7 linked regions of the Oryctolagus cuniculus genome follow. The protein of the gene in region 1 interacts with the protein of each later gene in a pairwise test. Links are inferred from orthologs where the notes say so. Each region holds a gene or a part of one and is shown on either strand. Other genes may lie near its edges. The genes, in order: FHL3, SAP30BP, RFX3, FOSL2, CCDC198, CNNM3 and SPMAP2.

The links.
Region 2: the proteins of FHL3 (region 1) and SAP30BP interact in binary tests that used the Homo sapiens proteins (3 or more experiments, as listed by UniProt). The two-hybrid records come from large-scale screens. The link is inferred for Oryctolagus cuniculus from reciprocal best matches to the Homo sapiens genes FHL3 and SAP30BP.
Region 3: the proteins of FHL3 (region 1) and RFX3 interact in binary tests that used the Homo sapiens proteins (3 or more experiments, as listed by UniProt). The two-hybrid records come from large-scale screens. The link is inferred for Oryctolagus cuniculus from reciprocal best matches to the Homo sapiens genes FHL3 and RFX3.
Region 4: the proteins of FHL3 (region 1) and FOSL2 interact in binary tests that used the Homo sapiens proteins (3 or more experiments, as listed by UniProt). The two-hybrid records come from large-scale screens. The link is inferred for Oryctolagus cuniculus from reciprocal best matches to the Homo sapiens genes FHL3 and FOSL2.
Region 5: the proteins of FHL3 (region 1) and CCDC198 interact in binary tests that used the Homo sapiens proteins (3 or more experiments, as listed by UniProt). The two-hybrid records come from large-scale screens. The link is inferred for Oryctolagus cuniculus from reciprocal best matches to the Homo sapiens genes FHL3 and CCDC198.
Region 6: the proteins of FHL3 (region 1) and CNNM3 interact in binary tests that used the Homo sapiens proteins (3 or more experiments, as listed by UniProt). The two-hybrid records come from large-scale screens. The link is inferred for Oryctolagus cuniculus from reciprocal best matches to the Homo sapiens genes FHL3 and CNNM3.
Region 7: the proteins of FHL3 (region 1) and SPMAP2 interact in binary tests that used the Homo sapiens proteins (3 or more experiments, as listed by UniProt). The two-hybrid records come from large-scale screens. The link is inferred for Oryctolagus cuniculus from reciprocal best matches to the Homo sapiens genes FHL3 and SPMAP2.

The regions. Positions count from the first base shown.
Region 1 is NC_091438.1:134,807,740-134,811,558, reverse strand, and holds the end of FHL3 (four and a half LIM domains protein 3), read right to left. Parts: intron 3,410-3,819; coding exon 3,234-3,409; intron 3,133-3,233; coding exon 2,958-3,132; intron 1,745-2,957; coding exon 1,575-1,744; intron 1,479-1,574; coding exon 1,292-1,478; intron 1,212-1,291; coding exon 1,057-1,211; 3' UTR 501-1,056; downstream 1-500. UniProt on the Homo sapiens protein: Recruited by SOX15 to FOXK1 promoters where it acts as a transcriptional coactivator of FOXK1.
Region 2 is NC_091448.1:4,910,115-4,913,614, forward strand, and holds part of SAP30BP (SAP30-binding protein), read right to left. Parts: exon of another isoform or gene 1,828-3,500; coding exon 1,736-1,827; exon of another isoform or gene 1,676-1,735; intron 968-1,675; coding exon 907-967; intron 497-906; coding exon 445-496; intron 1-444. UniProt on the Homo sapiens protein: Plays a role in transcriptional repression by promoting histone deacetylase activity, leading to deacetylation of histone H3.
Region 3 is NC_091432.1:165,827,287-165,831,567, forward strand, and holds the start of RFX3 (transcription factor RFX3), read right to left. Parts: upstream 2,801-4,281; 5' UTR 2,508-2,800; coding exon 2,486-2,507; intron 1-2,485. UniProt on the Homo sapiens protein: Transcription factor required for ciliogenesis and islet cell differentiation during endocrine pancreas development. Essential for the differentiation of nodal monocilia and left-right asymmetry specification during embryogenesis.
Region 4 is NC_091433.1:174,525,328-174,528,827, reverse strand, and holds part of FOSL2 (fos-related antigen 2), read left to right. Parts: intron 1-1,869; coding exon 1,870-2,388; 3' UTR 2,389-3,500.
Region 5 is NC_091443.1:19,327,603-19,331,102, reverse strand, and holds part of CCDC198 (factor associated with metabolism and energy), read right to left. Parts: intron 1,899-3,500; coding exon 1,663-1,898; 3' UTR 1-1,662. UniProt on the Homo sapiens protein: May be involved in tuning the metabolism, energy expenditure, and excretion processes.
Region 6 is NC_091433.1:110,906,312-110,910,440, forward strand, and holds the start of CNNM3 (metal transporter CNNM3), read right to left. Parts: upstream 2,801-4,129; 5' UTR 2,758-2,800; coding exon 1,536-2,757; intron 1-1,535. UniProt on the Homo sapiens protein: Probable metal transporter.
Region 7 is NC_091447.1:58,263,992-58,268,282, forward strand, and holds the start of SPMAP2 (sperm microtubule associated protein 2), read right to left. Parts: upstream 2,801-4,291; 5' UTR 2,739-2,800; coding exon 2,458-2,738; intron 1,593-2,457; coding exon 1,476-1,592; intron 1,253-1,475; coding exon 1,181-1,252; intron 1-1,180. UniProt on the Homo sapiens protein: May be involved (but not essential) in spermatogenesis.

The sequences.
Region 1 (3,819 bases):
GCGGGGCCGTGACCCATTCATGCTGGGAATCGGATCCAGATGTTCCCGCGGCGCGTGCAGCTGCATCCTTGCCTTTTTTGGCAAAAAAACGTGCGGCCGCGAGCAGATCCCGGGCCGCCCCCGCTAATCTTCGGGAAGAAGGGGAAGGGGGTTGAGGGTCTGGGCCCAGACTGGGGCTCAGGACCGAGTGCAGGCTCCGCGGGATTTGGGCAGGGCAGTTAGGAGAGAGGCCGGCTTGTACCGGGGGAGGGCGCCCCGCCGCCAGCCCCGCTCCTGCCTGGAACCTCCCCGTCGCCGCCCTTCCCCACGGGAGAGAAGCAGCCTTCGGCCAGCAGGAGGGGAGGCAGGGCGAGCTTGCCGGAACGGTAGCTTCGGCAGGGATCCCGTTCCGGGGGGCAGACTCCTACCCTGTGGCACTCGTAGCCCTGGGCCTCTGCCCGGGGACACGGAAAGTCTAGAAGAGCCGCAAAGGGTCCCAGGCAAACACACAGACGCCTGGCTTCCTCACACTGCTTTATTGCAGAATCTGGAAGAGGGCCGGGCTAATCCCACTCCCTCTGCCCATCTCTGGGCAAAATGCAGCTGAAATAAAACGAGAAGACACTCGACAGACACAGCCTGGGCAGCACCTGTACCCCAGAGCCCCTTAACTGGGGGAGCCTCCCCAGGTGCAGCCCAGACAGCCCCCTCCCCGCAGCCCAGGGGACCGGGGTGGGATGGGCCAGGGCTCAAGCCTGAGTACAGTCCATTTGGAGGACTTCCCAGGCTCCTGCAAGACACCTAAAATCTCTGGAGAGTAGTCCAGATTTAAGGGGGCTCTAGGTCCCCAGAGTTCAGGTTTGAAGGGCTGGGGTCTACAGGCCTGATGTGGGGAGTGGGCTTGCTCTGAGAACCCCGACTATGGAGGAGAGGGCTGGGTCCTGGAGTCCAGGTCTGGATTGGGGAGTACCAGTTAGAGGTCGCTGGGGGCAGGGGGAGCCCCATTTGGGGGAAGGGCTGGGTCCCAGAGGGGGTTGCGAAGAGGGGCCGTAGTCCTGGAGCCCTGGTTCTGAAGGCTCAGGGCCCTGCCTGGCTGCAGCCCTGACACAGCACTTGGTCTCCATCCGGCACGAAGCCCTGGCCCACCAGGGACGTGGAGCACCGGGCGCAGGAGAAGCAGCTGTGGTGCCAGTGGCGGTCCTCGAAGGACACATACTTGCCCCCACCGAGTCCTGCAGGGATGCCGGTGTCAGTCCTGCCCCTCAGCCTCCCCCAGCACCACACCCACCCCGCCCTCTGGCTCCTGTCCCACCTGTGATGGGGCGCTTGCAGCTGCTGCACTTAGGTGCAAAGAGTTCTCCAAAACAGGCCACACAGTAGGGGTCATCATCCCGGGAGGTGAACTGCTGCCCTGCCAGGGGCGTCTGGCACCCGGTGCACACCAGGCACTCGCGATGCCAGGGCTGGTCGCGGTACGTCACTCCACCCTGGGTCAGCGTCTGGAGGGGGCAGTGGCCATGGGCAGGGTGAGGCTGAGTGGCCTGCCCACCCCACGACCAGTGTTGCCCAGCCCCACTCCCTGGCCCAGCCCCCACCTTGCTGCAGCGGGCACAGCGAGGAGCAAACTTGTTCTCATAGCAGGGCACGCAGTAGTGAGCACCCTTGTCGGGCACGAAGGAGCGGGAGCCCAGCGGCTGCTCACAGCCGCTGCACAGGAAGCAGTGTTCATGCCACGTCTGGCCTCCGTACTCCAGCTTCCGGGACCCTGTGGGGAACAGCAGTCCTGCTCAGAGGCTGAGCCCCATGCTCCTGAGGGCCACCCGCCCCCGTGCCTCCCCCAGGAGATGCCCACTGCTCCCACTGCTCGCACAGGGTGGCATCCATGCACATGCAGCAGGACCCCCCACACACTGCAAATGGGAACCTCCCCAAATGCTGGACCCCACGGCTCAGCACATGCTAGGCCCCTAAAGTGGACATGAGGGTTTAGTGTATGATTTAGCTCCCATGTGTCCCAGGTGCGACTTCCTCAGCACACAACAAGACTCCATCTGGGGCCGGCGCTGTGGCGTAGCGGGTAAAGCCGCCGCCTGCAGTTATTGGCATCCCATTTGGGCGCTGGTTTGAGTCCCAGATGCTCCACTTCCAATCCAGCTCTCTGCTATGGCCTGTGAAAGCAGTAGAAGATGGCCCAAGCCCTTGGGCCCCTACACCCATGTGAGAGGACCCAAGAAAGCTCCTGGTTCCTAGCTTCGGATCAGCGCAGCTCCAGCCCTTGCAGCCAATTGGGGAGTGAACCAGCGGATGGAAGACCTCTCTCTCTCTCTCTCTCTCTCTCTGTGTAGCTCTGACTTTCAAATACATAAAATAAATCTTAAAAAAAAAAAAAAAAAGGCGTGATGTCTCTGTAAGCTGAGCTATGGTGGTTTCAGCATCCTCATGAGACCCTACACATGCAAGGCAAGCAAGTCTGCCCACACCAGTTCTAAAGCCCTGGGTGTGATAGGTTCCATACATGCTAAGTCCTCTGTCTCCTGGGCACATCACTCTCCACATGTGCCAAGTCCCCAGGTACCTATCAGGTATGCATTCCCACACATACTACACCCTCTGCGTGCACCAGACCCCAGTGCACCCAGCATGAAAGTCTCAGCACACCCTTAGCTCCTGCATGTACCGGACATGCAAGTCTTCATCCGTGCTGTTCCACCACGGGTGTAGAGGCCACCTGGCCCGGCGCACAGTCCCATCCTCAGCACCGTACCAGGCTTGCTTGTCTTGGCCTCAGCATACCGATGCCCATGCATGCTGAGGTCCCAAGAGCGTGTAAGCACAACAGGTGGTGCGCACACTGAATTTCCACCCCATGCTGCACGTGCAGGCCTTCACACACGCCTGGCCTCTGGGGATGCCCCAGCACAGGCACAGGCCCTCCACGAACGCCAGTTCTGCCACGGGCGGAGTCGCCGGGGACGTACCAGGCATGACGGTCTCCCCACAGGCGGAGCACTGCGAGGAAAAGGCACTGCAGTAGCAGTCGTTACAGAGCAGCTCGCTGTCCTGGCACGTGAAGGGCTCGTCGGCGAGCGAGCGCTGGCAGCGGCCACAGCGGAAGCAGCCCTCGTGGAAGTGGCGGTCTTCATAGAACAGCTCCTGCGAGGGGCGGGGCAGGCAGGGGGTGCTGGCACTGCGGCCCTCTGCCCCCTCCCGCCACCCTCTGCCTGCTCCCTGCCCTGCCCTGCTCGGGTCCTTACCCTTGAGTCATGCCCAATAAGCTGCTGGCACTCAGCACAGGTGTTGGCGAAGGTGTTGTCATAGCAGGGCACGCAGTAGGGGCCGCTGTCTGTCTGGATGTACTTGCGGCCATACAGGGACTCGCTGCACTTGGCACAGTCGAATGCCTCGCTCATGGTGGTGACAAGAGTCAGCCCTGCCGGGAGCACATGCAGACCCGCAGTCACCCGGAGGGGCTGTGGCTTAGCCCCTGGCAAGCATTCTTTGCATTCACAAAAGAGCAAGAGACCAGGCATAGGAAATGCCAGGTTGCAGCAGGTGGGGATGGGGCAGGGGGGGGCTTCTGGAAACCGTGGAGGCTTGCAGGTTTATTTCTGTAGTGAACAGTTGGGGTAGGAAGGGGTCAGGAAAAAACCAGGAAGCAGAAGTTGTTTTCTTATCGAGGCTGGAGCAGATCTTGGGGGAGGGGGCTTTTCCTGGGTCAGTGACTCATTTCCTGCCCCAGCCTGAGCTTAACCGCCACTGTCCCTACTGTCCCCGGGGTGGCAGGAGCAGGGGCAAGGGCAGGCGCCACCCCACCCTTCCCCATATATGAACAGCATTCCT
Region 2 (3,500 bases), on another chromosome or scaffold:
AAAAAAAAAAAAAAAAAAAAATAGACCTGCGGCTCAAGGGCCTGCAGCCTCTTCAATTCTTCCCAGTTCTGCCTAACGGGCCCTCAAGACACCACTGTGCCTGGTATCCTGCCCACGCCTGCCCGGCCCCTGCACTTTTCCAAGCTCAGCGTGAACACCACTTCCTCCGCGAGCCCTCCAACCCCTGCAGCAGGTCAGGCATCCCTGCTTGTCCCAGCTCCCCATCGTAAGCCTCGTCAGTGCGGGGATTACTGGCTCAGCCATCTGTCTCCTTCGCTGTATGACAGCCTTGTGAGTCAGGGATGGGGGCCCGTCTCATGAGACTGTGAAGGTGCTGCAGCCCCTTGGAGGCCCTCTGACATAGAGGAGACTCAGGAATGCGTGTGGCCTGGGTGACTGCCTGGCTGGACAGATAGGCAGGTGGGTAGATGGAAGGCAGGTTACCTAATGCCTCATAGTAGGAGTCCTCAGACCAGCCATGGGGGTCGAACATATCCTGAGAAAGAAAAGGTCAAAGCCACGATCAACTGGCAGTGTCAGGTGACAAGCCCCTTTCCCTTGAGTCTTTCCATAGACCTTCCTGGCCTGGAGCGCCTTCCTGTCACAGCACGAGGGTTCAACTGCGACCCCGGGCCTCCAGCTCCGGGGTAGATGCACCGCTCAGCACCCCCCAGCTGATCTGCAGGAGCAGTGAGCCCACACCTGGGCCCTACATATTCAGAGCTTCGCGGCCAGATCTGTAACTGGTGTCTCTCACTGGACTGCTTCAGAAAAGGAACACGAGCGAGATGGAGCCTCTTCCATCCAACCAGAACTGCTGTGCCACTGACCTTCCTGTGCAACTCCAGTGGAGCCGGCCCAGGGTCCAGGGAACCCCCCCACCCTCAGCCTGAGCACTGGACCCACCTTTGGGTAGTTGGTGCCGAGCTCGTCTATGGCACAGAACTGAATCAGCTTCTCATAGATGCTGCAAGGAGAACAAAACAGGCACTGAGCAGGCACTCGTCCCATGTCCCTGCCGACTCCCTGGGCGGAGTGGAAACCTCTCTGACCTCTAGACCCTGTTCAGCTGTTCCAACTTCCCAGCGGGAGGCCTGGCCCTGCCACTTCCGGCCTGCACCTGCCTGTGAAGTGGAGCTGCTGGCTGGGGGCTGGGATGAGCACAGGGTCAGGTGAAACGGCTCCGTCTTATCTGGGCGTCTCCGACCCTCAGTATGCAAGGCTAGGTCAGGCCTGCCACTCAGGCCCACGCAAGATCCACGCTGCCACTCACGTGCTCAATCCAGGTGTCACTTGTTCAAGGGCTGCAGAGTGAGAGCCACATACAGCTAGCTCTGTCCCGGACCCTCTCATCTGCGTGCAAAGCCAACTTTCCAGAGTTGGGAGAAGAACCCAGAGACTGGTCATCGGGCCCAACTTCCTCATCCTGGACTAGAGGACACTGGGACTTGTGAGGTCATGTGTGGCAGGAACGGAGCAGGCCAAGAAGCCATCCTGCCGCCCCCACTCCAGCCCAGCACCCTGGGCTCTCAGCTCACACACTGGTTTCTGGGTGGAGGCTGGACCTGACACAGTAGCCCCCGGCGGGGCTGGGACGGCCTGCTGGGTCTGAGTCTGGGGGAGTCTGAGCTCAGGTGAGACCTCAGCTGAGTCTATCCGCACTACCTCCCTGGGGCTGGCCCCGGCTCTCCTCCAACAGCAATGACCCAGCCCCACGAGCTCAGGGGAAACTGACCTAGGGTTCCGGAATTCTTTCTTCCGTTGGATAATGTAGTTCATATCCATTCCCTCTTTTATCTTTCGCTCATACAGCTTCTGGATCTTGTCCTGTGGAAGAGGAGCAGAAGAGCATGTGACAGAAGCCCACCTACTCCCAGTCCCAGTCTTCAGTCTCGAGTGCTGTGAGGAGCACATTCCTTCTCCACCCAGCCTCTGCCTGGACAGAGCTGACCCAAGTCAGAAGAGCCCAGGCCAGTCTGTCTGCGGCGTCTCCCTTCGGATGAGTAACAGAGGGTGAGTAAAGACTGAGGCAGGGAGGCCACGGAGGAGATGACAACCGGATCGCCAGCCGCTTCATCAGCTCCTGCATCGCCTGAACAGTCCGAGGCGCCAGAGCGGACGTGCAGGGACACAGGCTGGTTCTCAGCACGAGGGGAAGCCCCCGAGCTGTGAGTCACAGGCTCCTGGGAGGGACTCCGTCCTTCTGGGTGCAGGCAGCAGGAGAGTTTTTCAGGTTGGCTCACAAATGGCTGGTTCCAGCCAGTTTATCGAGGGTTACCCCTCATCTTCGAGACTCCTCCTCCAGGAGCAAGGCCTGGACTTTCAAGGGTAAGGAGAATCACACCCGGCCCGGATCCAGGCCCACCTCTGGCCAGTGACCCGAGTGTCCCTAGGAAGGTGCTGCCCAGCTGAGACGATGCCTGTGCTGCTTAGGGCCAGTGAAGAGGCCCAACCCTGAGGAAACAGTGCTGCTATCTAGGAAGGCGGGCGTTGCACTATCTGCAGGGGCTGGTGCTGGGGCGTAGCAGGTAAAGATGCCGCCTGCTGCCGGCACTCCATATGGGAGCCAGTTCAAGTCCCGGCTGCTCCACTTCCAATCCAGCTTTCTGCTATGGCTTGGGAAAGCAATGGAGGATGGCCCAAGTCCTTGGGCCCCTGAATGGTGTGGGAGTCCTGGAAAGAGGCTCCTGGCTCCTGATTGGCCCTGCTCTGGCCATTTTGTCCAATTGGGGAGTGAACCAGTGGATGGAGGACCTCTCTCTCTCCCTCTCCTCTCTCTGTGTAACTCTTTCAAATAAAGAAATAAATTATTTTTTAAAGATTTATTTTTATTTGAAAGACAGAGTTACAGAGAGAGGTAGAAACAAAGAGGTCTTCCATCCAATGGTTCACTCTTCAAATGGCTGCAACAGCTGGAGCTGAGCCAATCTGAAGTCAGCAGCCAGGAGCTTCTTTTGGGTCTCCCACGCAGGTGCAGGGGCCCAAGGATTTGGGCAATCTTCTACTGCTTTCCCAGACCACAGCAAAGAGCTGGATTGGAAGAGGAGCAGCCAGGACTAGAACTGGCACCTATATGGATGCCAGCGCTTCAGGCCAGGGCTTTAACCCACTGTGCCACAGCGCTGGCCCCAATAAATAAATCTTTTTTTTTTTTTTTTTTTTTTTTTTTTTTTTTTTTTTTGACAGAGTGGATAGTGAGAGAGAGAGAGACAGAGAGAAAGGTCTTCCTTTGCCATTGGTTCACCCTCCAATGGCCGCTGCGGCCGGCGCACCGCACTGATCCGATGGCAGGAGGCAGGTACTTCTCCTGGTCTCCCATGGGGTGCAGGGCCCAAGCACTTGGGCCATCCTCCCAGGCACTCCCGGGCCACAGCAGAGAGCTGGACTGGAAGAGGGGCAACCGGGACAGAATCCGGAGCCCCGACCGGGACTAGAACCTGGTGTGCTGGCGCCGCAAGGCAGAGGATTAGCTTTGTGAGCCGCGGCACCGGCCCCAATAA
Region 3 (4,281 bases), on another chromosome or scaffold:
AAAATACAACAGCATTCAGAAATAAAAGTTTTGTTAATATACAAATCTTGAGTAGTTTAAAACTTTGCCTTAAAAAAAAAAAACACGTTTGGAAAATAATTAACTCTAAAAGTAGATTCTACTAACAACAAAAGCAAACGATGCCACCTGCTTTTGGACAGCCCTTTTGTGAACCACTGGAAGTCCCAACACAAAGCAATAAAAAAATGAAAGTGACACCTGTTTAAAGCAGCCATCTGTCCCTAACAAGCTAGATTTTAGTCAAATCCACTTACTCCTAGATTTCCAAAAATGGGAACACTATGCACCTGTGAACAGAAAGAAATTTGAAGTCTATTTTGTGATTGCCACTAGGAATATAGCAAAGAATTAAAGGAAAACGATTCCACTAGGGAACCTATTTATTTTTAAAGTAACTGAAAGTAAACAGGGGATCTTTACCCAAATACTTAGCAAAAAATAAAAAAATAATAACCAGCAGACTCTTCTTAAAAGTTTACTTCTTTGGAAGCCTCCTTTCTTTTAGCATATCCTCATTATGAATACCAAGAAAAAAGTAACATACCTATTGGACTGTTTAGGAAAGTTGTTTTTTTTTTTTTTTAACTTTTCCTACACATCTGATGCTAAAGCCAACCTTCTAAACACACATATACACACACAAACACACACATTTAAAAGATTTGAAAAGCAAAATCATCATACTCCACATAACTGATATCTTCAGTTGGAAGCTTAAAGGAATGCTCACACAATAGGAATTTTCTCAAAAATACTTTAAAATATTATCCAAAGTAATAAATACAATGCATGAAATTTATCTCAATTTAAAACTCACTCATTTTTAAATGCTATTTTTAACACTTAAAAATATTATCACAATAAATACGTTTAGGGTATAAAAACTGTTTAGGGTTCAATCATCTTCAACTTATAAACTACAAACTTCTAATAAGACTACTTGAACATCAGGAGAATAATACACTATTTTAAACACAGAGCATAACTATCCCATATAAATGAAACATTGTGAAATGATGCAAAACATCTGAGAATGCTTTAGTTTACCATACAAATGTATGATGTCTATACCACTTAGTACAATTCACAGTCAAAACAAGACAAGCATTATGACATACATTGAACCACAGGTACTGAGCTACTCAAAACAAGTTTCAAGGGACTCCTATTTAATGATTTTAGTTCCAAACCATGATCACCCTCACAGATTTCTATTAGTCTAAAATCTGAAAACAGAGAAACCAGTATGTAATACAGTCCCTCCCTGCAAAGAAAAATGATAGAAAAAATACACTAAATGCTAAATATTTATCCTGTGTTTAAATCTGATTATATTTCTGATTATTTAATCAGTTCAGATGAATAATGTCAACTCACTTAATCTAAAGCATCTCTAACAACTGTTATACCATATACATGCTTTAAAAGGATAATTTAAATAAAAGGATTCAATTTAAGTTCTGCTCTCAAATCAACGTATAAACAAAAAAATTATAGAAAACCTTAAAAACACATAATGAGTGAAATGCCTCAAAAAAGTTCTTAAACACTGCAAATAAAAATATTAAGGCAATAATATTATAGCATATAATCTACTCAATTAAAAGCCAATTACGAGAATGGCATATGGTCTGAAACTGTCCCAAGACAGCAAAACTCCTATTAACTTCAGAGAGAGTTTATAGGACCCAGGAGCTTCACCATCCAAAAGTGTTCAGGCATTTGACACTCATCTGAACAGAAAAAAAAAAAAAAAATACAAGTTAGTATGAGAGATTTGCACCAAATCCAGGATCCAGGTTGGGAAGGAAAGAAATAATTATTAAAAAAAAAAAAAAAAAAAAAACCTGTGTGCTGTAAGAAAAATTTTTTTCAGAACCAAATATTTTCATTTAAAACAGCAATCAGAAGGAAACGAATTGAAATGAATTTTTTTAAACCCCCAACTCTGATTTTATAAAATATTAGCCTTAATAGCATTATAATTACCCAATCCGCTCATTGACAATCTCAAGAATAATTAATACTGTCACATTATTCACAGGCTGCTCTGTCAGTTAAATCAATATATGTTTGCTGTCAGAAAAAAAGACTATTTAAATAAGCATTTTTAAAATCTAAATTGGCAACTTCACACGTAATTTTAATGGCACATCATATTTTTTAACAGGCATTCATTATCAAAACTCTTTACTGATAATCTATTAATTAAAAGTTAGGCTGAAGCATGAACAAATTAAGGGGATCTATAAAACTGGGTTAACTCTAACCAAGTACCTTATTACTTGAGGACTGAAAAGTATTCACATCTAAAGAGAAAAACCACTTTTCCAAAGAAAGACTTAAAAAGGAAAAAGTTCTCTTTCCTGAGCAGTTTAAGTTACTGTCCAAAGAAAACCAAAAAGTAAATAAGTACCCACATGCCTAGATCTTAACAACCACAAAGAAAGTGAAATATACACACGTTTCAAGTTGAGAAGCTTCATACATTCTTTATGAACAACTTGACTTCAATTTCAACTCTCAAAGGAAAGCGAACACAGAAGACGAAGAAGGAAAAAAAAAAAAAAAAAGAAAGCCTCTTAAAGTACCCTAACTGTCAGAAATAACGCTGTAAACTGAGTTCTCACAAAGCTGCCTGGCGTCCTCCCCCTGTTCATCACACCCGAGTCTCAGAACCACAATGAAAATTGCGAACACTCTACGCCGGGGAGGGCGGCTCGTCCGAGTGGAAGGGAACCTCGCGGCCACCCTCCCAGCTCCACAGGAAGGATAAAGCACTGTCAATAACTAGGAACCAAGTATCACAGATGCCCTGCATCCGGTTTAAATCGCAAGCGCGCGCGCACACACGCGCACACACACACACGCACACGCACACACACACACACACACACCCCAGAAGAGAGAGACCAGGGAGACAGGGAGAGACTTTTAAAAAAAAAAAAATCTCCTTCGCAGGGCGGCCGGGGGAGCCCGGTCTGGAGGCCCCCAGTTTCCCTGTGTGTACAGGGGAGGGGGGAGACGGGAGAGGGGGAGGGAAGAGTGCGGAATGGATAGCAAGACTGTTTGCAGCACAAAGAAAATACAGTTTTAAAAGAAGAGAGAACACCGTGAGGCTGATGATGATCAAAGCAGAGCAGCCCACGGAGCACCAGGCAAAGAGGGGCCAACACGAAGGGAATAAGCTGTGGGAAAAGTTCACCGACGTACGAGGACAAAAATAACAAAACCCGTCACAAGGCCCCACAAGTGAACCGCAACAACAACAAAACACCACCTCTCGGGTCCCCCCCCTCCCCTGGCACATTGTTGTCCACGTCGGTTGGGAAAGAAGCAGGAAACAAGCAGCTTTGAAAAGGAAGAAAATTAAAGGGGGGAAAAAAGAGAGAGAGAGAAATCCGTCTCTGTTCACCTGACCCTCCTCCTCAGACCAGAGCTAGGGGAACGCTCCAGCATCCGCCTCGGAAAACTGTGGCTCCCTCTCCCGCTCGGCTCGCAGCCCCCCGAGCTCCCGCTCCATCCCTGAAGTGCGGCCGGCGCAGGGCCGGGCGAGCGGCGCCCACACCCCCGACCCCGCCGCGGCGCGCAGGGTCCATTGTAAACAAGCCCGGGGGACGGAGCCCCCGGGCAGCGGCGCCGCGGCGGCAGCCCGGGTGTCAGGAGTGAGACCCCCGCACAGCCACACTCGGCTCGCACACACGGACACACACACGCACGGACACACGCGTTCACACGCCGCCACACGCTCCCACACACATGTAGAGACCGAAGAATATTCACCTTGGCTGTGGATTATTGTGGTGTTGTTGGTGGGTGATGGAGATGGTGGTGGTGGGGAGGAGGAGGAGGAGGAGGAAGAGGAGGAGGAGGAGAGGAGTAGTTGTTGTTGATGGGTAACAGTCGCCAGGACTACGGTGACTATGGCGCTTGATTCACAAGGCAACGGTTGCTATAACTCACAAAAGAGAGAGAGAGGGAGAGAGAGAGAGAGGGAGCGAGAGGGAGAGGGAGACACTCGCACGGGGAGGGGTGGGGGAGGGAAGAGGGGAGGAGGCGGGCCCAGCGGAGTCGCCGGAAGGGGCGGGCTCAGCGCCGTGACTGACGGCCCCCGAAGCCGGGCGGCGCGCAGGGTGGGGGACTGGGGGCCGCTAGGCTGGGATTCCGACGGAGAACCCCGAAGAGGTGCGCTTAGGCTTGGTAGGGGCTGAGGTCACGGAGTCCTCTCAGAGGACTGCCACTACAGACGCTGGCGAAACC
Region 4 (3,500 bases), on another chromosome or scaffold:
ACCTGTTGCCAGCAAGGGTGGCACACTCTGGCTCAAGCCCTCTGGTTTAGGTGGGGGTGGACGCCATTGATGGAACCTGTGGCGGCCAAGTTGTATTTTCTTAGGGTTTTCCCATGTCCGCCTCTTTCATGAATGAAGCTGGAGCAATGCCCTTGGTACTTCATTCTGCCCTTGTGAGTCACCCCTGCTGCCCAACTGCCTGGACCTGGGGAGGAGCTGAGAGAGGCAGTCAGCCTGTGTCCTCCCTCCCGGTGACCGGCCAGGATAGGGCCAGGGAGACCTCACTGCCGGCACTTCCCTGTCCATCCTGCAGCCTGGCCCCTGGGTGTTGGCTGTGTGCTGTGTGAGCTCTGTGAGCTCTGTGCTCTGTCCCCAGGACAGGTGTCCACCCCCCGCCCCGGGATTCGCTCTGCACAGGCGAAGCCCTCCCCATGCCCCTGACCTTCCCCCGGCCCCGTGTGTCCGCGAGGGCTCTTCGGACCACCAGCTCCAGATGAGTCCTGCCCCCTCCGCTGCCCAGGGCCCTCTCCTGCACCCTCCCCTCCTCCTGGGAGCCACACACCCTCCCCTCCCCACGCCCCCCCCCCCTCCACGCCCTGCCCCAGCCACCTAGGCCCCTGAGCCACATCCTCCACAGGAAGCCTCTCAGCGGCACATGACATTTGTCAGACCCTTGAGACCAATGGAAACTTTTTTTTTCACTCCGGAATATGCTGTGCTCTGGCTCGCGGAGCTCTTGCCCGCGCCGCCTCATCTGTGAGCAGGAATCCACGCTAGGGAAAAAGTGGGCAGGAGGCCGGGGACACACACCTGCTCCCCTCCCACCGCCGCCCGCCACGTGCACTGGCTGGCGTCTGCTTCCCTGGTTTGTGTGAAAGAAGGGGGCTGGAGTCCTGGCCGTGACTCTGGCATCCTCACAGTCCCTCGAAGCCTGTCGGAAGCTACAGCAAAAATAGAGGAGGGGATGTACAGATTCCCCCAGGCACTGGCTGAGCCCCCTCCTTTTATAATTGCTTATTTATTTGAAAGAAATTGAGGTCGTCCTTCCACTGGTTCATTCCCCAAATGGCCACAGTGGCTGGGGCTGCGCTAGTCCAAAGCCAGGAGCCTGGAATTCCCATCTGGGTCTCCCACGTGAGTGCAGGGGCCCAAGCACTTGGGCCATCTTCTGCTGCTTTCCCAGGCGCATTAACAGGGAGCCGGAGTGGAAGCAGAGCAGCCGGGGACTTGAACCAGTGCTCTGGTGGGGGATGCTGGCATCGCAGGCAGTGGCTTAACCTGCGGGGCCACGATGCTGGCCCTGGCTGAGCAGTTCTCAGAAGCCGGGCACTGCCTAGGCTCTGTGGGACAGGAGTAGGCAGGATGACGCCCGCTCCCCCATGCCGCTGAGTGTGTCCCTGGTGAGCGGGCATGGGCTCGAGGCAGCCGTAGAGGAGACAGGCAGGGCTGAATGCTGGCTTCCTTCCTGCATGGACCCTGGGCTCAGACACTGGGACTCAGATCTGGGCTGCCCTGCCTGCTACCTTGGGTAGATCACTAAACCTCCCTGAGCCTCGGTGTTCCCCTCTGTGAAATGGGTTGATGATAACACGAACTTCCAAAGACTACGGGAGCACTGGATGAAACTCCCTGAAATGCTCAATGCTGTGCCTGATGCCGTGACAACAGCCACAACTGTAGGTTCACCCCTCCTCCCAGCAGGCTTTGCTCCTGCGGAATTAAAGGGAATCTGAGCCTCCACGTGACTCACAACCAGTGGGGTCTGTGGCCAGAGGTGTGAGCTGGCTGGGTTTCCCTCCGTGGCCCCCCCAGCCCCCGGGGCCCTAGGGTGCTGTCTCTCACCTCTCTCTCTCCCTCCCCCACCCCCAGGAGACAGAGGAGTTGGAGGAGGAGAAGTCAGGCCTGCAGAAAGAGATCGCCGAGCTGCAGAAGGAGAAAGAGAGGCTGGAGTTCATGTTGGTGGCCCACGGCCCGGTGTGCAAGGTGAGCCCGGAGGAGCGCCGCTCGCCCCCCGCCACCGCACTGCCGCCCATGCGCAGTGGGGGCGGCGCGGTGGGCGCCGTGGTGGTGAAGCAAGAGCCCCTGGAAGAGGACAGCCCCTCGTCGTCTGCGGCGGGGCTGGACAAGGCCCAGCGCTCGGTCATCAAGCCCATCAGCATCGCGGGGGGCTTCTACGGCGAGGAGCCCCTGCACACCCCCATCGTGGTGACCTCCACTCCCGCCATCACCCCGGGCACTTCGAACCTCGTCTTCACCTACCCCAGCGTCCTGGAGCAGGAGTCGCCCGCATCGCCCTCCGAGTCCTGCTCCAAGGCGCACCGCAGGAGCAGTAGTAGCGGGGACCAGTCCTCGGACTCCTTGAACTCCCCGACTCTGCTGGCCCTGTAACCCAGCCGCCTCTCCCGCCAGCTCCAGAGGGGCCCTCAGCACCACCGCCTCCCCAGGGACCAGCACCTTGAAGCCTCTGGGGCCGCGAGGACCAGAGTGGGCTCTGCTGGGGAGCTGCCCGGCTCTGCTGGACAGCTGGGACCCCGGCTGGGGCGGCACGGGGCGGAGGTGGGGACGTGGTCAGTCTCTGGGAGGCCACGGGGCCTCCCTGTCCTGCGTCTTGCAAGCAAATCCTGTTTCTTGAAAGGCCTCGGAGAACCTGGCCTGCGGACTGGGCGACACCGGCTTCCGAGGAGCCTGAAGCTGTCCCCTTGAAACCACGCTGCGCTTCCCGCCCTGCCAAGCATGCGCAGTGCCTTTTGGGTCCTCCTTCCCCCACCTCCGTGTCAATTTCGCTCCCTCCTGGTTTTATTTTTTTTTTAATCGAGTTTGCCACGACATTTCATCCGGGTGGTCTGAGTAGTGACTCTTGTTTCTGGACATGGGGCAGCAAATGACTCCTGCGCTGGGGCGGACTGTGCAGAAGGGGACGGTCAAGTGCAATACGGAACCCTCGGTCCCCCGACGCTCCCAGGCGCGCCGGCATCTCCGAAACCAGCGGTGGGGCTCCCTGGGCTCGCGAGGGGGAGCCCCCTTCCTTCACTGGCAACCTCCTGGCCCTCGGAGCAGCGGCACAGCCGGAAGACAGGGTGTGAGAGAGACAGCCGGGACACAGGTTGGGTTTGCCAAGCGCCTAATTACCAGGCCAGGAATAGTGCCAACAAAGCCACCCGGGTGTCCTAGCCAGCTTCCCCTCCCCTGTGTCTTGAGCAGGGTGTCCCCTGTAATTACTGCCTCGCCACTCTGCCCCTGGACCCTCGTCCCTGCCTAGGCACGGCACAGCACTCCAAGTCCCTGCGTGCCTCCGCCCTTCTCCTCAGGGTGACGCCACCCACGGAGACTTAATGAGCGTGGCCTGGACCCTCCCCAGACTGCGGCTGGGCCACTCCTCCCCAGGCCTCATGGAGGAGGAGCCCCTGCAGGCACAGTGGATGGAAAGACCAGGTGAGCTGGGAGGCCGCCACTGGGGTGCACCTACAGCCGCAGCCCCAGGCCCGCTTGGCCCCTCAGCA
Region 5 (3,500 bases), on another chromosome or scaffold:
AATGGCCTCAACTCTTCAGTTAAAAGACACAGACTGGCTGAATGGAAAAAAAATCTATTTGCTATTTACAAAAAACACATCTCACCAACAAACATATAAGCAGACTGAAAGTGAAAGGATGGAAAAAGGCATTCCACACTAACAGAAACCAAAAATGAGTAGGTATAGCCATCTTAATATCAGACAAAATAGACTTTAACACAAAAACTGTTGAAAGAGACAAAGACGGGCTCTATACAATGATTAAGGGATCAATTCAACAGGAAGATGTGACTATAATGAATGTATATGCACCTAATTGCAGGGCACCTGACTATTTAAAACAAAAGCTAATGGATCTAAAGAGAGACATAGACTCTCATACAATAGTGATGGGGGACTTCAATATCTACTTTCAGCAATGGACAGATCAACCAGACAGAAAATCAACAAGGAAACAGCAGAGTTAATTGACACTATAGACCAAATGGACCCAACTGATATCTATAGAACTTTTCATCCTACAGTTGCAGAAAACATTCTTCTCACCAGTGTATGGAACTTTCACTAGGATAGACCACACCAGGCCATAAAGCAAGTCTCAGCAAATTAAGAAAAATCAAAATCATACCATTCATCTTCTCTGATCGCAATGGAATGAAGTTGGAAATCAACAACTCAACAATCTCTAGAACATATGCAAACACATGGAGACTGAACAACAGGCTCCTGAATGAACAGTGGGTCATAGAAGAAATAAAAAAAAAGTTCCTCAACAGTTGAGAATGCTTTTTTTCATACTATTTGTTGAACTCTTTACTTAGTATAGAATTAATCTATGTATAAAGGTAATTGAAAGTAGATCTTAGTAAAAAATAAGAATGGGAATTGGAGAGGGAAAAGGAAGAAGGGTGAGAGTGGGGGTGGGAGGGTGGGTACGGTGGGATGAATAACCATCACTATGTTCCTAAAGGTGTTTTTATGAAATGCGTGAAGTTTATATACCTTAAGTAAAAGGTTTCTGGGGGAAATAAAAGAGCGTGATGTGGTAACAAGTCTCACAGGTGGACCCTAGTGGAGCAACTTTGGCCTTTACACCATTGTGTAGGCTCCTACACTGACTGCAGTCTTGCCTGAGCTTCAGAATATGGTGCACGTGATTCAGAGCCAGTCTCATGACCAACCTTTAAGAAGACTGTTTTTGCTTTCTTTTCTTGGGACATCTGCTTTTGGGATCCCTAGACTGATAGGAAAGAAAATTTACTACTCTGCTGCAGAGCATATGTGACAAGGCTTTGAGATTATATGGAGAGGGGATATGGTCTAGCTGTCTTAGAGTCCTAGTTGAGCCTTCAGATGACTCCAGTCTTAGCTGACATTGTATTTCAATGACTTGAAAAATTTCATGAGGTTAGCAGAAGAACCACTTAGCAGAGCCCAGCAACCCACAGAAAAGTGACACATTAAAATGGCTCTTGTTTAAGTCTCTAAGTTTTGAGGCAGTTAGTTACACAGCAACAGATAATGACATATATAACAAACCTGCTAGCCATAAGACTCTAAATGATGTAATATCTTTTTACAAAAGAGAATTGCTTTCCTCACAATAATTCATATATTAACTTGAAGAGTTTGACAGAAAGGTAATATTTTAATGCATTCAGTATTTAGTGAATGACATTCTTATTCTTGATCAAAAAACTCATCAAAAAGTGGAATTCTCTCCGTCCTTGTCCTCACTAATGCTTGTGGTTTCTTCTCATCTGTCCCCATCTCATCTGAGTCACAGCTAGAACTATCCCAGAAAAGCTGTCCCCGGGCCTCTTGTTCACGAATCCATTTTTCCATTTTGCCAATTTTCCGGGTACGATAGTCATTTCTTGCTTGATGCTTCAAAAATTCTGCATTTTCTATGTTTCCTACAAAAAGTTTAAAGTTCATTTAATTTACTTTTCCTTAACAATGATTTATTTGTTATTACATGTTTAGACTTCATGAACATAAAACAATCTGCTTATATACTAATACATAGGTATTATTCATATACACTATATATACTTATATATACTTTATGTATTTATATTTATAGATACAGTTGTAATTTGTGACTCTGTAAGCCTTAAAAAATTTTAGCTGTTATTTATAATTTTTTTGAATCTTCTGAAAGTCACAAGAATGGTCCAATACATATCTTTATAATCACAACCCATTGACAATGTTTTGATACAGTATCACTTTCACCATATATCTATGTCTATCTATCATCATCTCTATGTATCTCTATCATCTCTATTACCCCTATATCATCAGCTGTTCATATCCAATGTTTTGCTACAGTATCACTTTTATCATATATCTCTGTCTATTTCTATCTCTGTTATCATCTCTATGTATCTCCATCTTCATCTCCATATCTCTTTCTCTCTATATCATCTCTATCATCCCTATATCATCAGCTGTCCATATCTGTGGGCTCTACTTCCATGGATTCAACCAGCTATAGATTGAAAATATTTTTTAAAAAGATTACCTCTGTTCTAAAAATTTACAGACTTTCTTTTCTTGTCATTATTCTCTAAATAATAAAGTATAACAACTATTTTAATAACATTTACATTGTATAGGGTATTATAAATAACCTAGGGAAGATATAAAATATGCAGGATGGTATACATAGGTTATATGCCAATACTACATTTGTTTTTTTTTCCCTCAAAGAAATCTTTTATTTAATGAGTATAAATTTCATAAGTACAACTTTAGGAATATAGTAATTCTTCCCACCATATCCGCCCTCCCACCCCACCACTCATCCCTCTCACATTCCCAGTCCCATTCTCCATTAAGATTCATTTTCAATTAACTTTATATACAGAAGACCAACTCTAGAGTAAGTAAAGATTTCAACAATTTGCACGTGCACACACACACACACAAGTTTTACGGTTAATTCTCATAATACAATTCGTTGAGGACAGAAGTCTTGCATGGAAAGTTAGTGCAGAGTGACATCTGTTGTTAATTTAACAATTAACACTCTTATGTATGATGTCAGTGATCACCTGAGGCTCTTGACATGAGCATCCAAGGCTATGGAAGCCTTTTGAGTCCACAATCTCCATCAGTATTTAGACAGGGCCATAAGCAAAGTGGGAGTTTCTCTTCCCTTCAGAGAAAAGTACATCCTTCTTTAATGGCTCCTTCTTTCCACTGTGGTCTCACAGAGATCCTTCATGTAGGACTTTTTTTTTTTTTTGCCACAATGTCTTGGCTTTTCATGCCTAAAATGCTCTCATGGGCTTTTCAGCCAGACCAGAATGCCTTAAGGGCTGATTCTGAGGTCAGAGTGCCATTTAAAGCAGTTGTCATTCTATGAGTCCGCTGACTACACTGTTTCATATAATAGACTTGAGCATCCTGATTTGGTATCTGTGAGAGATATGGAACCAATTTCCCATAGATACCAAGGGAAGGAGTTATATGCTTTTTAGATGAGCATTTGAATTAGTTGTGGAGTCATT
Region 6 (4,129 bases), on another chromosome or scaffold:
GTGAGCCGAGCATTTAAGACACCTTGAAATGTGACAGCTTAGGCCATCAAAGGGACAGCTGTGGCCTCTATACAAGTTCCCTACGCAGAAGGGATAAAGCCTGCACTTGCAGTGTGACCTCTGCTACTGGTTCCCCAGGAGTAGGCGAACCTACCCATCTGCAGAGCTCCCAGCCGTGAGCAATCATCACCCTCCTAGCAACGAACACCCAGGCCCCGGCGCCCCGCATCTCCTCTCCCCGATCCTCTCATTACCCCTCCTATCGCTAACCACTGAGGACCCTGAGCCGGGAGAGGCAGGCAGCCTTCCCTGGGCCCAGGAGCACAGTGCAGGCCAGGCAGGATGGAACGCACTTGGCTGACTCCAGGGCCACACTGCTGACCACCACGCCTCGAGAGAGCCCACTGTTTGGGATCTAGACAGAGTACTTGCCACCAGCACGCTGTGTCTGGGCCCCACACAAAAGCCCTCCCCAGAGTAGGGCTGCATGGCCACGTTGAAGGGAAGGAGCCAGGGCCCCCAGAGAGTCCACCAGACCAGACACAGCTGTGGGTCCAAGAATTAAAAGACATGTGGAGTGCAACGCACCTACCAGGGTTTGGCCCGAGGCTGTGCCCAGTGCAGGAGGACCATGGTCACTCCTGCCAGGGCTGTCGGAGGGCTCTGCTCACGTGCTAACAGCCCGTCCACAGCACGGGGTGCCCCCACCCCGATCCTGCGGGAGTTCAGGTGAGAGAAGCACATAGCACCCCCAAGGCTGACAATGCAGACGGCTGCAGAGGGACCCACATTTCACACGCTGAGGGCCTGTTTTACCTTCAACCTTGGAGTCACTCAGAAAAGCCAGGGTTGAAAGGAGGGGTGAAAAGGAGCTAGAGGAGAAGCTGAGAGACCCTGAGGGGAGGTTTAAAAAAAAGGGGAAGTCAGGGGAAGGAGAGATTAAATCAGCATCCACGAAGCTGCTTCTGATGAAATCAAAGAGAAAGTTCTCTCCATACCTGTAGGAAAGGAGGAGTACTGATGAGTCATGCCCTTGTCACTCAGAAAAACAGCCATCAGCCAGGGACCCCACCAACGCCCTGGGGACACCACAGGGGCAGCTAGGCCCGGATCTGGAAGCCACCTTCTCCGTGTCCTTTTAGTTTCTATCCAAGAGTTTCAATCTGCTACATCCGACCCCAGGCACAACAGAAATGGCCTGGGAGCCGGGAAGACCCGGGAGGTTTAGAATCAGTGAGAGGTATGTCCCCAACACGGGGGCCACCGTGGAGAGAGAGAGAGAGAGAGAGAGAGAGAGAGAAAGAGAGGTGTTTGCGTTCCATGGCACTCTGTCCCCTCTGAAGGGCGGGGTCCTTAAACACTTTAAAAGGTCATTCCCATCTGCAACGCGACCACCCTCTTAAAACCGGCCCTTAGAGGGCCCCCTGCCCTCTCCAGGAGTGGGGCCTTTTCCCCGACGGCCCCATGAGCCCCCTCTCCTTCCCCAGGGCCAAGCTCGGGCACGGACATCCCCTCTGCGGTGCCCCAGCCGTTACCTCGCTTGAACTCCTCCAGGACGGCGTCCAGCTTGGTGTCGTTGAAGACGAAGTGCAGCGGGTGGTTGTAGAAGCGCGTAATGGTGCTCAGAGGCGTGCAGTCTTCCGGGTCCACGAAGGCCAAGTCCTTGAGGTAGAGCATGTCCACGATGTTGGAGCGCTCCTCCTCGTACACGGGGATGCGCGTGTGGCCGCTCTGCATGATGCTGGCCAGGACGCCGAAGTCCAGCACGGCGCTGGCGTCCAGCATGAAGCAGTCCTCGAGCGGCGTGAGCACGTCCTCCACCGTCCGGTAGCGCAGCACGCCCTTGCTGAGGTCGCTGTAGGGGTCGCCACCGCCGCGTGCCAGCTCCAGAACGCGCTCGCGCAGCCGCCCGGGGCGCGCCGCCAACTCCAGCAGTTGCCCCACGGGCAGCGCCACCGGTAAGGTGAGCAGCACCGCCAGGCGGCTGAGGCCGAGCGCGCGCGGCGCCAGCGCCAGCGCCCAGCGCCCGCTCACGGCGGCCGGCACCACCTCGCCCACTAGGAACACCAGCCCCGCGCAGCCCAGCACGGCGGGCACGGCGCGCTGGCCGGCTGCGCGGTACAGCAGCACCGCCAGCGCCGCCTGCGCCAGGCTGGCCAGCAGCAGCAGCGCGCCCAGGGCGCAGCCGGCCCAGCGCCGCGCGGGCTCCAGTCGCCGCGCCGCCGCACGCTCCGCCTCCGAGCCGCTCTCGCGAAGCACCTGCACCTCGGCCGGCGCCAGCGCCAGCGCACTCAGCTGCAGGCCCCGCGCCAGCGCCGCCAGCGCCAGCAGCCCGGCCGCCCCCAAGCCCAGCGCCCAGGGTGGCGCCGCCTCCTCAGCCGCCCCGCCGCCCGGCTCCACGCGCACAGCTAGCAGCGCCGAGTGCGGGCGCACGGTCTCGGAGCGCAGGCACAGCAGCGCGCGCCACTCGTCCGTGGGGGCCGCCCCCGCCTCCTCCTCGGGCGCCGCGGTCGACCCACTCTCGGGGCAGCCCGACCCCTTCGGGGCCACCCAGGTCCAAGAGCTATTGGCGAACCCGGAGCCGAAGAGGCGCAGGCGGAAGGTGGCCTCCGGCGCGGCCCGCACCGCTCCTCCGTCCTCCTCCAGACAGAAGCCCAACACTCGCAGACCTGGCGTCGCCTCCCCCGCGGCGTTGCCCAGGCAGAGCGCGGCGAACAACCAGCCCAGCCGACCCGCCGCCGCCGCCGCCGCCGCCATCGCCTGCTGCCCCCTCTCGGCCTCTCGCGCAGCCTACCCCGCTCGTCCCGCGGCCTCCGCCTCCCGCGGCCCAATCATGACCGGCCTTCGCGCCCCCTCGGCCAATAGACGGCGGGCGGGGGCGGGCCCTAGGGTCGGACTAGGCTGCGCCGGGGAGTAAACAAGCGGCGGCGCGGGGCGGGCCGGGGGCGTGGGGTTCTCCGCCCCAGCGAGCCCCGCCGCCGCTCCGAAGGCACTGGGTGGCCGGCTCTCGGAGGACGCGGAGCCGCGAGCTGGGGCGTGGCGGGGCGGGCAGGGCCTCCGACCCGTCCCGAGGCCTCGCGGGAGCCGCGGGCCCTTGCTCGGGACTGGAGCACTGAGCGGGAGCGGGTGCTCGCCTGAGCCGCGGGTCCCGGCGTACCTGAAGTTGCTGACGGAGATGGAAGCGAGTGGGAGCGTGCTGTTTTCCTAGGAACGGGCCCTGGGAGCCAGAACCAGCGGCTGGGGTTGTGCCGAGGTTTAACTGCGGCTGTAGGCCCCGGGACGCCAACACAGGCCCTGTCTTCAAGGAACTCGCTTTCCCGCCGGGGAGACGTGTGGTGGAAACGTGCACACGAGATCCCAGCCTCACTGGATCCTCACAGCTACTCGGTGTAACTAGTGTCTGACAGGAGAAAGGCGAAGTCCAGGAAGACTCCGCGGGCGTGTTGGGTTCCGAGGCGTCGGGACGCCCCGGCCACCACCGCCACCGCCGTAGCCGCGATGTCAGGAATCCCTGCCCGGCTCCTGGCAGTCCGTCAGTCCGAGGCCGAGAAACTCGCACGGCCTTTCTAGTCTAACTGCATTCAGGCTGGCCCCTGCAGCTGAGCTGTATTATTTCTTCTCTACACTTTTGCGGTGTTTTTTTTTTTTGTTTGTTTGTTTGTTTTTTTTTTTTTTTTTTTTTTTTTTAAGGCGGATAGCCCCGTGCCAACTTGCTCTGTCATGAAAACGACAGTTTATAAGTTTAGGGGAAGATGTTTAGCATGGCAGTTAAGAAGCCCCTTGGGACACCACATTCCATATAGGCATCTGGACTTGAGTCCCAGCTCCACTCCCGATCCCAGTTTCCTGATCATCTGCACCCTGGGAGGCAGCAAGATGGCTCCAGGATTTGGGTCCTGGCCACCCACATGGGTCGATCCAGATTGAGTTTCCAGGTCTGGCCTCCTCCTGGCCCAGCCCTGGCTGTTGGCAGCATTTAGGGAGTGGACCAGCGGATGGCAGATTCTTTCTCTGTCTCTGCCAGTCATATAACTTAAAAAAAATTGTTTAAAAAATTAAAAAGTACGCAGAGTGGCCACAATCAAGTGAAACATATCTGTGTGGAAAGTAATGTGCAAAAATGAGTCTG
Region 7 (4,291 bases), on another chromosome or scaffold:
GGGACTTGAGTTATGGTTGGGATTAGGGTTAGGGATCTAGGATTTGAAGTTAGGTTAGGGTTAAGGTTAGAGAACAGAGTTAGGAATTTAGGGTTAGGGTTGGGTTCAGGATTTAGGGTTAGGGTTTTGTTAAATTTCAGGGTTTAGGGCTATGGGTTTTGGGCTAGGGAGATGGCCAGAAGATTATTATAGTTTTAGAGTTATAGTTAGGGTTAGTGGTTTAGAGACAGGACTTTCAGTTTAGGGTTAGGGTTATGGTTAAAGATTTAGGGTCAATGCTAAGTCTTAAGGTTAGGGTTAGAGGTTAGGATTAGGGTAAGGGGTTACGGATTTATTGTTAGGGTTAGAGTTTAGGGTTAGGGTTAGGGGTTAGGGCTAGGATTTAGGGTTAGGGTTAGGGCTAGGATTTAGGGTTAGGGTTAGGGTTAGGGCTAGGATTTAGGGTTAGGGTTAGGATTTAGGGTTAGGGTTAGGGGTTAGGGTTTGGGTTAGGGTTAGGATTTAGGGTTAGGGTTAGGGTTAGGATTTAGGGTTAGGGTTAGGATTTAGGGTTAGGGTTAAAGATTTAGGGTCAATACTAAGTCTTAAAGTTAGGGTTAGAGGTTAGGATTAGGGTAAGGGGTTATGGATTTATTGTTAGGGTTAGGGTTAGGATTTAAGGTTAGGGTTAGGGTTAGGGCTAGGATTTAAGGTTAGGGTAGGGTTAGGGTTAGGGCTAGGATTTAGGGTTAGGGTTAGGGCTAGGATTTAGGGTTAGGGTTAGGATTTAGGGTTAGGGTTAGGGTTAGGGTTAGGGTTAGGGGTCAGGGCTAGGGTTAGGGTTAGGGCTAGGATTTAGGGTTAGGGTTAGGGTTAGGGTTCTGATTCGAGTTTATTTAGAATTCCAGTGACAGCCATGACATTGGAGATCCTGGGCAGCTGGGAGAGTGCCTTGGACACGGTGGGTGACACGTCCTGAGCCTCCTGGGCCTGCACCAGTGCCGAGTCGGAGGGAGGTGAGCCAGGGGCGACAGCGCCAGCAGAGCCCCAGCTTCTCGAGGGAGTGGCCAGGTCCTCTCTGCCTGAAGCCAGGTCCGGGGCTAGCGTGTGGGTGAGGGAGCCCCCACCTGGAAGCCCCTCCCTCCCTGGCCGGGCGCCGCGGCCACGTGAGCTGCAGGTGGGGAGCAGGCGAGGGACTTACCAATAGAGACAGAAGTGCAAGGTGGTCTTGCATGGGGTGATCCACGCATAGCCCCTACAGCGGCCTCTCATCCTGCGACGAGACAGGGCCAACGCCCTGCTGCCGTCCGCCGCCACCGCCCTGAGGACCCCAGGGGCCACCGTCCCCACCAGGCCCCACCGCTGGGATCCTGATTCTGTTCCCTGGCGGCCCCTCCCCCACCCCCACCCCACCCCCGTGGGAGCTCGGGGTCGCCACCTTTCCGAGGACCTGGACCTGCCCCACCCAGTGAGGCCCAGGCCTGGCCGGCCCTCACCTGTCTCTCAGGACCTGCCAGTTGGTCTTGGGTTCTGCCAGCTCCAGGAGCCGGCGCCGCTGCCGCCTCCCTCTGGCCATGGAGCAGCGGGGCAGTGTGCGGGTGATGGACAGCCGACTGCGGGAGAGTCGGTGTTGGGGCTGGCACCGCCTGGCCCTTGCCCGCCCCGCCCACCTGCTGTCCTCTCAGGCTTCCCTGGTGGGGATGGGCCAGGGCCTGAAGCACCACCCCCCACCCCCACAGCTTCCTAAGGCCCTGCTCCCCCCTTTATGAGAGGAATGGGGGTGCTGTGGCACAGGGGGTTAGGCTGGCGCCCCACGTGAGCGCAGGTGCAAGTCCCAGCCGCTCCACTGTCCACTGAGCTCCTTGCTCATGGCCTGGGGCAGCAGCAGGGGACAACCCAAGCGCTTGGACCTCTGCACCCACGTGGGAGCCCCGGATGAGGCGTCTGGCTTCCGACAAGCCCAGTTCTGGCCTTGCAGCCATCTAGGGAGTGAACCAGAGGAGGGAAGATCTCTCTCTCTCTCTCTCTCTCCTCTGACTTTCAAATAAGTAAATAGAGAGAGAGGCCGGCCCCAGCTCCCAGGACCATCGCAGGGCTCACAGCCACTCCACTCTCAAGCATTTTCCAGCACCTGTGGTGCAGGACAGCGGGGCCACAGGAGCAGGGCCTTGGCTGCCCCTGCCCTCAGCCCCACTTCGCCCCCCCCGCCCCCACCAGGGCCCCTTGGGCTCTCTGGGAGGGAGGGGCGTGGCTTCACCCTAGGTGGAACAGCCCTGCCCCACCAGCCAGCAGGTGTCAGCCAGGGGAGCCCTGAGGGGGACAGGAGGCGCTGGGGGGGCGCGGTGCACGTGGCCGGAAGTCGCCCCCCAAGTGCTCAGGCCCGCGCCCTAACCCGGCCATCTGCGTGTGCTTTTCTCTTCCACTCCGAAAGCGGGGGCCGCCGCGCCCCCCGCTGACCCCCGACCCCCCCCCGAACACCTCATCTCCGCAATGTCCTCTGCATCTTTGTCCGGAGCCCCCTCCGACTCGGAAAGCGCGTCCTCCTGGTTCGCGGGCCCGGGGGGCTCGTCCCCGGCCACCTCCTCAGCAGGGACCTCCTCGTCCTCTTGGTCTTCCAGCCCCAGGTCCGCATCCTCGGGGTCCCGGTATTTGGGGTCCTTGAACCGCAGGCTGCTGTACACGGGGCCCCGGAGGCCGAGGGCCTCGTCCTGGCCGCCCCCGGGCCCGCCCCCCGCCTCCGAGAAGCGGCGGTCCTCCATGGGCCGGGTCCCCTCCGCACACCTGCGTCCTAGCTCTGGCAACACCCAAATGGATCTGCGGTCACCAGGGCGACAGGAGAAGGCGCCGCCCACATTCTAACCACGGGCCGGGCGGGGTGGGGGAGGGGCTCAGCGCGGGCGGCGCCCCCACCCTGCAGGTGCTGGACCCGGGTCCTTCCTGGAGGTCACACCTGCCTTCCCGGGATGCTGGCCAGAGACTGGAGCAGGGTCAGCAGGGGCTTCTGGGAGGCATCCCGGCCTCCCTCCCTCTCTCTCCTCTTCCCTCTCCCTCTCCCTCTCCCTCTCCCTCTCCCTCTCCTTCCCTCTCCCTCTCCCTCTCCCTCCCCTCCCTCTCCCCCTCTTCTCCCTCTCTCCTCTCCTCCCTCCCTCTCTCTCCTCTCTCCCTCCCTCTCCCTCTCTCCCTTTCTCTCTCCCTCTCTTTCTTCCTCTCTCTCCCTCTCCCCCCTCCCTTTCTCTCCCTCTCTCCCTCCCTCTCTCCCCCCTCTCTCTCCCTCTCTCCCTCTCTCTCTCCCTCTCTCTCTTCCCCTCTCTCCCTCTCTCTTTCCCTCCTTCCTTCTCCCTCTCCCTCTCTCTCTCCCTCTCTCCCTCTCTCTCCCTCCCTCTCTCCCTCCCTCTCCCTCTCTCCCCCTCTCCCCCCTCTCCCTCCCTCCCTCTCTCCCCCCCTCCCTCCCTCTCTCCCCCTCTCTCCCTCTCCCTCTCTCCCTCTCCCTTCCTCTCTCACCCTCTTCCCCCTCCCTCCCTCTCTCTCTCCCCTCTCTCTCTCTCTCCCTCTCTCTCCCTCTCCCTCCCTCTCCCTCTCTCCCTCTATCTCTCTCCCTCTCCCTCCCTCTCTCACCCTCTTCCCCCTCCCTCCCTCTCTCTCTCCCTCTCTCTCTCTCTTTCCCTCTCTCTTCCTCTCCCTCCCTCTCTCCCTCCCTCTCCCTCTCTCCCTCTCTCCCTCTATCTCTCTCCCTCTCCCTCCCTCTCTCACCCTCTCCCCCCTCCCTCCCTCCCTCTCTCCCTCTCTCCCTCTCTCTCCCTCCCTCTCCCTCTCTCCCTCTCTCCCTCTATCTCTCTCCCTCTCCCTCCCTCTCTCACCCTCTCCCCCTCCCTCCCTCCCTCTCCCTCTCTCCCTCTCTCCCTCCCTCTCCTCCCTCTCTCTCTCCCTCTCTCTCCCTCTCTCTCTCCCTCCCTCTCTCCCTCTCTCTCTCCCTCCCTCTCTCCCTCCCTCTCTCTCTCCCTCTCTCTCTCTCTCTCTCTCCCAGGGGGCAGGGGGTCCGTGAGGGGGCCTGGTGCCTTCAGGAAGGCAGCAAACAAGTGGAAGCGGCTTCCCTCGGCCGCGCGCAGGGAAGGCAGGCAGCGAACAGGGCTGTGGGTCTCACACTTCCAAAGGCTCTGTGCAGTCTTCCCACAGGCCAGGCCCAGCAGGGACCGTGCCGCCTTCAGGTCAGCTGCTGCCCCGGCTTCTCCCGGGGGCCATCCCAGGCCATCCCAGGCCACAGAAGGGGGACCCAGTGGGCTCAGCTGACTGGTGCACCCTCCTGGCTCTGCAG